Linked DNA regions of Daphnia pulex. The protein of the gene in region 1 interacts with the protein of each later gene in a biochemical or structural test. Links are inferred from orthologs where the notes say so. Each region holds a gene or a part of one and is shown in the gene's direction. Other genes may lie near its edges.

The links.
Region 2: the proteins of ubiquitin-conjugating enzyme E2 S-like (region 1) and RING-box protein 2-like form a complex in vitro, tested with the Homo sapiens proteins (3 studies listed by BioGRID). The link is inferred for Daphnia pulex from reciprocal best matches to the Homo sapiens genes UBE2S and RNF7.
Region 3: of the proteins of ubiquitin-conjugating enzyme E2 S-like (region 1) and ubiquitin-like modifier-activating enzyme 1, one has a biochemical effect on the other in vitro, tested with the Homo sapiens proteins (8 studies listed by BioGRID, with this or other methods). The link is inferred for Daphnia pulex from reciprocal best matches to the Homo sapiens genes UBE2S and UBA1.

The regions. Positions count from the first base shown.
Region 1 is NC_060023.1:8,631,999-8,635,410, reverse strand, and holds ubiquitin-conjugating enzyme E2 S-like, read left to right. Parts: upstream 1-1,534; 5' UTR 1,535-1,696; coding exon 1,697-1,705; intron 1,706-1,783; coding exon 1,784-1,928; intron 1,929-1,998; coding exon 1,999-2,189; intron 2,190-2,247; coding exon 2,248-2,391; intron 2,392-2,452; coding exon 2,453-2,599; 3' UTR 2,600-2,907; downstream 2,908-3,412. Other genes in the region: ADP-ribosylation factor-like protein 6-interacting protein 1, read right to left, coding at 279-409, 477-561, 638-741, 804-937, 1,000-1,133, 1,199-1,228; uncharacterized protein LOC124197881, read left to right, coding at 3,205-3,276, 3,381-3,412. UniProt on the Homo sapiens protein: Accepts ubiquitin from the E1 complex and catalyzes its covalent attachment to other proteins. Catalyzes 'Lys-11'-linked polyubiquitination.
Region 2 is NC_060024.1:9,938,686-9,942,986, reverse strand, and holds the start of RING-box protein 2-like, read left to right. Parts: upstream 1-1,417; 5' UTR 1,418-1,530; intron 1,531-1,695; 5' UTR 1,696-1,718; coding exon 1,719-1,887; exon of another isoform or gene 1,888-2,414; coding exon of another isoform or gene 2,415-2,693; intron 2,694-2,765; coding exon of another isoform or gene 2,766-3,595; intron 3,596-3,654; coding exon of another isoform or gene 3,655-3,778; intron 3,779-3,843; coding exon of another isoform or gene 3,844-4,301. Other genes in the region: tyrosine-protein kinase Shark-like, read right to left, coding at 1-48, 109-352, 436-623, 701-865, 931-1,068, 1,147-1,258; facilitated trehalose transporter Tret1-2 homolog, read right to left, coding at 2,415-2,693, 2,766-3,595, 3,655-3,778, 3,844-4,301. UniProt on the Homo sapiens protein: Catalytic component of multiple cullin-5-RING E3 ubiquitin-protein ligase complexes (ECS complexes), which mediate the ubiquitination and subsequent proteasomal degradation of target proteins.
Region 3 is NC_060018.1:5,971,857-5,974,118, reverse strand, and holds the end of ubiquitin-like modifier-activating enzyme 1, read left to right. Parts: coding exon 1-152; intron 153-208; coding exon 209-351; intron 352-423; coding exon 424-915; intron 916-981; coding exon 982-1,308; 3' UTR 1,309-1,693; downstream 1,694-2,262. Other genes in the region: uncharacterized protein LOC124207205, read left to right, coding at 2,084-2,262. UniProt on the Homo sapiens protein: Catalyzes the first step in ubiquitin conjugation to mark cellular proteins for degradation through the ubiquitin-proteasome system.

The DNA.
Region 1 (3,412 bases):
TGTGAGGCAAATTTTACTAAAATGTACAATTTCTAAACGTACATCATAATAATTTAAGTACTTCTGAATCACGGAATTTTAAAGTTCGTTGCTCCAGTTTGAACTTAAGAAAACTAGGAAACAAAACGAACAAAGAGAATTATCTTGATTGAACATTCAAGCACAGAAATCAAAGACTAGTATGCCAAAATACCATTAAAAAAAAGCCCCAATCGTGATTTAAAAACCTAAGATAGTAGAGACACAAACTCTGACTTTGAGACTCATCAAGTTCCCATTTACTTATTTTTAACGGAATCCTTTTCTGTATACGATCGGATGCCATTGGTGACTCGGTGTAGGAATATCGACAGAAATTTTGATAGTACTTCGTTGTGTTTGACGCCAGGATACAATGAGATGAGTGTGACTATAACAATCAAAATGCTGATTACAATTCAGAATACTAAATAGTTTTAATTAATAATATTACATACCAAGAATAAAACAAATGAGCCAATTGTTGACTGTATAACCAATCCAAGCTGAAAGACTGCAGAATGAAAAGAGTGACAAGAAATACTGGAAGATAAAACATAACAACAGGTTACATTTAAAAATATCAAAATCTATGCACTGTATCAATTAAAGAAATCACCATTTTAGGATTTGTCCTTTTGAGATCAATAAAATATGTCATCTGGTTGTAAATTTTATCTTGAGTTTTCACCAGAGTTTCACAGATTATCTCAAACTTTTTCTCTATGGAGAAATGATCAAGTTACCTTTTGATCAAGTAAGAAAATGAGATGAAGAATGTATACCATTCAATGCTGTCCATTGATGAGGTTGTGATATACAGCTACATATTCTAGGAACACTGTAATCAATCAAACTGAGTATCAGAAAAAATAGAGATACGGAGGTGATGATTGGAGGATTCCAATACCAGTACATCCTAATAAACGAACAGAAACTTTATCATGTCACAGGAAAAATTTTTAAAAATATAGAACCTACAGAAATACAGTGCTAATGGTTCCAACAATAGGTGCAGGGTACCAGGATTCAGTCCATATGAGGACAGAATACAAGGCAACGAGAAAAACACGCCAGGTTTCAATACGCCGTTTTAGAGATTTTATCCTCTTTTCCTGAAATTGGGCAGAAAAACATAAACAATGGGTTTAGTGTGCTGCAAACAAACGAAAATAGTCACCTGGTCGGATACAAGAAGGATATCAGGCATTTTGAAACCTATTATATTAGACAGTTTTAAGAAACCAAGAGCCCGAGACGGCACGTATAAAAAAATAGAATAAATATTATGGCATGTGAGAAAGGTTCGTGACTCACACGCAACGTTGACAAGGACCTTGAAAATAGAATGTGAAACTCGCGAGTTGCAAATTACTTGAAATTCAACGCAGATTTTTCACGAATAAAAACCAATTCATGTCGAAAGAAAATGTTTTTATTTTAAAATCATAAAAAAAATAAATAAATTTTTCGAATACGTTTTTTTTAAATTGGTACCCATTTCGGCAACGGTGTGCATCTTGTATTCTTGTTGTCTCTGAACTCTGAGGCCAAAATTTCCTGATATTGTCCAAATTCTAACCGTTCTAACGGTCGTATCAAAATTCTTTTCAAATTTACTCTTCCGTTTTCTGTTTCGTGAACATATCACTTTTCTGCTCTTTTGTTTTTAACCCTCATGGCTTCAGTAAGTTTTTAGAAAATTGAGTTACAGCTTGCAATTTTAGACTTTAAAGTTGCGCCCATTTTGAACCGTTTAATCTAGGTTTCGTTTGAAAACTTGGCACCTCAAGTTAGTCGCCAAATTTGCAAGGAACTTCAACAGCTTATTAGTGATCCACCTGAAGGCATCAAAGTTATTCTCAATGAAGAAGACATATCTGATATTCAAGCCATTATTGATGGACCTGGTAAGAGTAATTCTCATTTAAAAATAAAGCCTAAAATTAAATCATTTTAAATCATTTCCCCCACAATCAGCTGGTACCCCATATGCTAGTGGACATTTTAGAGTAAAATTAGTGCTAGGAAAAGATTTCCCCTCTGGTCCTCCGAAAGGTTTCTTTTTAACCAAAATATTTCATCCCAATGTCTCGCAACAAGGCGAAATTTGTGTCAACACCTTGAAGAAAGATTGGAAGCCTGATCTGGGTATCAAACATATATTTCTGGTGCGACTATTTAAGAGTTCAATTCTATTTCACAACTAACCTAAAATCTCTTTTTTAGACTATCAAATGTTTGCTAATTGTCCCCAATGCAGAGTCGGCTTTGAATGAAGAGGCTGGCAAGCTCTTATTAGAGCATTATGAAGATTACTTTCAAAGAGCAAAAATGATGACTGAAATTCATGCCAAAGTTAGTCAAAATCAGGTAAACAAAACCAAATTTACCAACTTACTGTATTTATTTCATTTTCATTCCTTGATTGAAGTCGAACGCGGATGCCCACTTGAATGAAGACAACAACCCAACGGAAGGCCCTACAGCATCGAAAAAAGCTGCTACTGATCGCACAGTTTTGGCGGATAAGAAAAAGCCAGTGGCCAAGGACAAAAAGAGAACATTGAAGAGATTATGAGCGTCACTGTACATAAATGCCTTTTTCTCTGTTTCTTCTTGCTTCACATCTAGCAACGGTTTGAAAATATCCGTAGTCTTTCTCAGCGATAAACTCCATAATTCTCCATCTCCCATACCATTTGAATTGTTTCGTTCCCGCACTTCTATGCAGTGCGCGTTATTTAACGAGCAAATCTATCCATGTCTAGTTTTTACACTCGCGGAAGGGAGGAGAGTGTTGATTCAGTTTCCTTTTCTTTCTCTTAATTTTATGCTGATTTTTCAGTCGTGTGAGGTCGAAGGAAATATAAAAAAATTTGCTGATAACCCATTCAACTCATATTTTTACCTTTAGTAAGTTATCACAGGTTACATTTAATTATTGATTTGCTGTGAACGTTTAAGATTTTCTTGGAATCGCACTTTAATGGTTCGTTTCCCTGAATCTATTATAAATCCCTTAACCCCAGGTTACTCACTCGGAAGGTAATTTGGCGAGTGCAATTATCTTGGGAGTAACGACCTTGCACCACCTTTAGCAGGACCACACCAACCTCACTCACAACCTCATTTGACCTGCACCTTCGGTTGTGTACAGTTTGAACCAGTCTCTACGTTCCCACTATGCGACTTTTAATCATTTTAATTTTGTTCGTGACATGGACTGTTTGCGAAGACGACACCGAGTTAATCGAGGTAACATTTGAAACGGCCGATTGCTGTTTGGTTCGTAGAAGGTCATTGATCCAAGTTCAAAAACCTCCACTCAAATTGTGACTTTCCCATTTAACATTTTTCAGAAAAATTCAACAGCAGTTCGCGTCAAGAGAAC
Region 2 (4,301 bases), on another chromosome or scaffold:
GATACCAGTCCTCTTTTCTGGTGAACGGAAATGGAGGTTTGTAGGACTCTGTGATAAAACAGACCAATTTAAGGAAATCCATCAGCTTTGAAATAATGTGATCCATACCTAATCGTCGTGCGCATTGATAGAAACCATTTTTTCTAGCTAAGTCAGCGGGAGTTTGATCTTCTTTAGTGCGTGACAATGGTGTTACAGACATTGCCATCATGATTTTCACACAATCGAGATGTCCTCGACTAGCAGCCTCGTGAAGGGGAACCATTCCGGTCAAACGGTGTCGGATTTGAGGGCTAGCTTTGAACTCCAGCAAAGTCTTTAAGCATTCGTGATGATTGTGTATACAAGCATACTAAACAATTCAAGAGAGGTTAATCATTAAATAAGCTACAGGGAAGGGTATTAATAAATGATTTAACTACTGTTATTAATTACATGTAGTGGAGTGAGGTCTGCATCATCCTTAACATTGACATTTCCTCCTCCTTGGATAAGAAGTTTAAGAATCATATTATTCCCCAAAAAGGCAGCTAAATGGATTGCAGTCTGTCCAATTTCGTTCTTAGCGTCGATACTCCTGTAGGAGCCACCTCGAAGTAATTCTGATACTACAGTTAGGTTGCCTGTTGAATAATTGGTAGTGACCTTGATACTTGATACTAAGGGAATCTCAGACAGATGAAAAATGCTTGGCAATCACCTTCTTTGGTAGCTCTATGCAATAGATTACATCTTCCATGACACCTTGTATCAACAGGTGGCAAATCTTTTTTGCAAGGTCGGTTAAGTGGTCCAAAAATAGAAGAGCCCTCTTTCTGACAAAGAGTAATGAGAGCATCAAGGCCATGAACAATGTATCCATCTTCTGCAAGGGGACAAAAAATTTATAATGAATGTAAATTAATGTAAAAAAATGCTTCAATGGCAAACCAATTGAAAAAAATGCATCAGCCCCATGTCGATTTATTTGGTAATGCCTGGGCTCTCCTTGGTGACGAACACTTAATATGAAAGCTCCATCAACTGTGGGGCTCTCTCTCACCAAAAATAGTCCTTCAGAGTCATCTTCTGCAGGCATAAATATGGAAAAATAAGATCACAATTTTAATAGATAGGCTACAAAAAAAAATATTATTTTAAACAGACCATTAGTAAGTAGAGCTTCAGCCTCTTGCCTGTTGATTTTCCCATGAAACCACCTTAGGTCTTGGTCAGTTTCGTCTCTTGAAGGTCGTCGAGACATGGTATTGAAATTCATTTATAAAGGTTAAAAGAGCTAGATTAAAAGTCAAAATTTTTCTTCATGTTATTTTTATCAGAGAGTAGTCAAAGGGAGTTCCTTCCTGTCAGTGGCTGAACCAAAATTGAACCGAATATGCACTTGTGATTATAAGTCAGCTGAGCGAGCGCCGAGCGGGCTAGCAGACGACATAAACAATATCTCAGCATACAATTCTGAGAGCTCCTTTGCTGTGGTTTTCAATTTTTTACTGGCCCAAAATTCTGTGTTCATAATTCATATAGCTAAAAGTAAGCTTATTTTACCCATTCTTATCTTTTGATTATGTACCTGCATTCTATTGTGTATAGTTGTCAATCATATCCAATCAAACCTTAATGCAACTATTGCTTTCACTTCAATATGTCAGTCAATGTTAAAAATCATGTTAAATGTTTTTGTTTATTTTTTTACAGGTTTTTTTATTCTACTGCAGAAAATGGCAGATGATATTGATATGGAGAAATCAGTGGAAAAAACCACAGTTGGTAATGACTGTGTAGTCAAAACTGAAAAGATGTTCTCATTGAAACGGTGGAATGCAGTTGCTATGTGGAGCTGGGACGTTGAGTGTGAAATTTGTGCCATTTGCAGAGTTCAAGTTATGGGTAAGTCCCAATTTCAATATGTTTGTTAAGAAGGGTTAGAGACAAGAACTATTTTAAAGGAAAATGTTTAAAATTTATTTGTGGTTCTGGTATATTTACATTTCACAAAATATTCAGAAATTATCTGGTTTTCACATTTTCAACTAAATACTAAAGGGGTGGGGTGTCGGCAAGGTTGTAGTTATGGGGGTTGATGAGAAGTTTACCATTTTACAATGTTCTGTACCCTGCCTGATGTAGTAATGTACATAAATATTTTGGAAGATAAAACAATTAGAAAAGATTCGTAGTCTGCTGGGTATTAGGAGAAACAGTCGTATTTATAAATAACGAATCCTAATTGTTCTATTCCTAATTATAAGGCTATCTTTAAACTTTCCTGGGAAGAAATAAGGTAGAACAGAACAGATCATTCAGAGATTTGAGGAATTGAAGACATCATTTGATTAAAGAAAGGAATAGTCTTATGTACAAAAACATTGTCCGCACTGTTAAGACGTCCAACGTTGAAAAATAATTGGTCGCCTTTACAGCCTAGTAGATTCGATATCTTTTTTCGGTTTCTTTTCAAGCATACTTTTCTCGATACTCTCCAAACTGTGTCCCTTGGTCTCTGGTACGAAGAAGATAACGAAAAAGATGCTGATAAAGCAGAAGAAACCAAAAAACCAGAACGCTCCATGGGCGCCGATCGTCGCTATCAGGTCGTTGAAGAATTTAGTTACTGCGAAGCTGCAAGCCCAGTTGAAAGCTGTAGCTACAGATGCAGCGTGACCACGAACCTTGCTTGGGAAAATTTCTCCCATCTAAATTAGCCAAATAGAAATTTTGTTAGGATTGAATTTTTTTCAAACAGCCATCACATTTTAATAACGTACCATAAGCCAAGGGATAGGTCCATAACCGATGGAAAAGGCGACGATGTAGACTATGAATGTAGTCAGTGGAAGCCAACCGACGTGTTCGAGATCATGTTCAAGGTGTTGCAGAATGAAGAAGACTCCCAATGCGCCGAGGCTGATTGCCATAAAGAATCCGGATATGTTGAGTAAAACTTTACGGCCTACTCGGTCGATGACCATATTTGAGCCCAGTGTAGCCATAAAGTTAGCCAACCCAATAATGATGGAAGAGAGGTTGCTATCTACACTTCCGCCAGATTTTTCAAAAATAGACACGGTGTAAAAGATGACCGCGTTGATGCCAGAAAGTTGCTGAAAGAACATGAGTCCGAGTGAAATGAGTAGGGGCCGTAGGTAGGCAATTTTCAAAAGTTCTCTGGCTCCACCACCGACGCTCTGATTCTTGTAATTGTTTTCAATTTCGAGAAACTCGTCTTGAACGTTAGTTTTGCCCCCACGGAGCCACTGTAGAGATTCGCGAGCTTCGGTATAACGGCCTTTAGAGATGTACCAACGTGGTGTTTCCGGAATGAACCACATGAAAGCTAAAAAGGGTAGAGGAAGAGCTGCTCCGATGGCCGCCAATACTTTCCAGTCGATGTAGGAGCCCAGAATGTAGCAAAACAAGATGCCTATGTTGCCTATCGTGGTGGGCAACAGGCCCAGCGATCCTCTGACCTCCGGTTGAATAGTTTCACCCAAGTAGATGGGCAGCGTCAAGGTAGTAAGGCCCACGCAAAATCCCTGGATTGAACGTCCGGCGTAGACCATGGGCAGGTTTGTAGCAAACGTGATGAGTAACCAAGCTAGATGAAGAAAGCAAATATTAATATTTTGAATTCAATGACACTGTTGCGTTACTTACACAAAATGTATGGTGGCCCGGTAGCCATGATGGTCGTCTTCCGGCCAAAATGCTCGACAATACTTCCACCGACAATGCCACCGATTAGAGCGTTAAGCGGCATTAAGCTCCCGATCCATGACGCCTAAGAATTGAATGATTTCCAGTTAGTTTTTGTTTGGTATTAGGGATTTTAGTCTAGTTACTAACCTCTTGGTCGTTTACGGGAATAGAACTGTTGGGTTGTGTCATAGAAGCTAGGGCAGGAGAAGTATAGCCAGATGAGTACCCCTCGATCAAAGCTGCTATGGCCAGGGCCAGCGAAGCCAACACTTGAGGGAAAAGCCTTCCACGACTTTTGCGACTTGCGGGTTCCATTTTAAATGAAGGATCTGGGAACGTAATGATCTGTGAGACATTGGACAGCCTATCGTTGTCTTTATTTTCGTCGGGATTTTCCATTGCCATATTGTCTTCTTCTTTCGAGTCAGCTGGCATGATTGGATTCAGAGCAATCAACGATTCGCTGACGACCATTGAAGTGGAAGGTATAGCTAACGGGTCTTTTGAATCGGAATTGTTGAGTCGAGCTTGAGCCAACGTTTCAGCCAGCTGTTGGTAAACTACGGAAGTTTGATCGACAGTGGCTTCGCAGCTGGAACAGGAAT
Region 3 (2,262 bases), on another chromosome or scaffold:
AGTCGAGGCCGTCCACCGCAGCTTAGTTGAGGAACGTCCGAAGAATTTTGAGCAGTGTGTTCAATGGGCTCGCCTCCATTGGCAGGAACAATATCACAATCAGATCAAGCAATTATTGTTTAATTTTCCACCCGAGCAACTTACTTCTTCTGGTAAAATCTATTGATAAAGTGTAATTTACTTTGTATATAATTTTTTGTTTTGACAGGTCAACCGTTTTGGTCGGGACCTAAACGCTGTCCTCATCCATTGGAATTCGATATCACTAACCCCGTCCATTTGGATTATGTGGTTGCGGCTGCTAATCTAAAAGCTAAAATTTACAACATCCCACAGTCGCGCGATGTACAGGTGAGTTCACTTTTTTTAGTTAAAACATAATTTGATTTACAGTTGTTTTTATCCCCTCGGACTCGAATATAGGCTATTACTAAAATGGTGGAATCGTGTGTCGTACCGGAATTCGTACCACGTTCAGGAGTCAGAATTGCTGTTTCGGATGCGGAAGCTGCTGCTGCCGCCAACAACCCAGGCATGCTTGATGAAGACAGACTTACCCAGCTGCAGACGGAGTTGCCATCTGTGGACTCTCTGTCCGGCTTGCGCATTCTCCCCCTCGAATTTGAAAAGGATGACGACACCAACTTTCATATGGATTTCATCGTAGCCTCTTCTAACTTGCGGGCAGAGAATTATGATATCGCACCGGCCGATCGCCACAAGAGCAAACTTATTGCTGGAAAGATTATTCCAGCCATTGCTACTACTACCTCCGTCGTTTCAGGCTTGGTCTGCATCGAACTTTTGAAGTTGGTACAGGGTCATACCAATCCTGAGGCATTTAAGAACGGGTTTATCAACTTGGCTCTTCCGTTCTTTGGCTTTTCTGAACCAATCGCTGCTCCCAAGCAAACGGTATTGTTGGAAAATATTTTAATCGATTCGTTAACTAAAAAATTTTTTGTTTGTATTTGATTAAAGTATTACGACAAGGAATGGACCTTGTGGGATCGTTTTGAAGTGGAGGGTGAAAAGACGCTCCGGCAATTTATTGATTACTTCGAAAGCGAACACAAGCTGAAAATCACCATGCTTTCACAGGGTGTTTGCATGCTTTATTCGTTCTTTATGCCGCAAGCTAAACGAAGCGAACGTATGGATCTCCCCATGTCAGAGGTTGTCAAGCGTGTGTCGAAGAAGAGACTGGAGCCTCATGTCAAAGCACTCGTCTTCGAGTTATGCTGTAATAACCTTGAAGATGAAGACGTTGAAGTGCCCTACGTCCGTTACGTGCTCCCGACCGAATAAAACTATTTGATTACTCTACGTTGTGCGGCGGGTTGGGGGTTGGTTCATATTTGATTTCAAGGTTATTTACTACCATAATCATCAGTTCACTTGCGCTATATCCAATGTTGTGGACTATTAGCTTAGTTCGTTGCTTTCTTTAATTCTAAATAGAATTCTCTATGGAAGTTATGTTGACCTGGGTCATTTATAATCAATTCCAAGAGTTCTTTCTTCGTGCCAGTGAGTATTAAATGTTACCGATTGGATTAACAAAGGGCAAAAATCCTTACTCTACATGGCTGCAACTTTTTCAACAACCTCCCTTTCAACCCTTCCCCGTTTACCGATTGTACAACTGGCCTTGAATATTGGTATGAAGTTAATACATGCCGTCAAAATTAAATCCTATATAAAAATGTTTTTTTTTTTATCAAGTGCATTATCAACGTACTTAGCAAGTCTTTGACTTTGGTCGATTGATGATAAATCAATTGAGATAAATCAATGGCTGAAAGTTCGATTTATTCAATATTTATTCAATTAAAAATCTTCTTAATGATGTTACGGTATTGTCGTTTTATCGTAACAAAAATCAAAGTTTGCAATCGTCGTTTCGTAGGCAAAAATTTGTTAAAATAAAACATTAAATTATGACTTTGATTCTTGAAACTAGATGGCGTATCCCGCGACTGTTTAAATTTCCCGGTTTAAAAAAAATGGGGCTGGGATGATAAGAGTCGACTGCTCACTTGTTGTGTTAAAATCGTATAATATTCGCTAAACATTTAGTTCAATGGAAGTGGACGACAGCAAAAATTCATTCTTGTTACGAATCATCGACAATATGGCGAAGCAAGGCATGGCGAGTTTGTCTGGCGAGTCTGGGCCTCACGTCTCTCGTTACTTTCCTCGACCATCGGTGCCTACATCATCTAAAATCAATACTGAAAACCTACCAGTTGGTCTCATAAA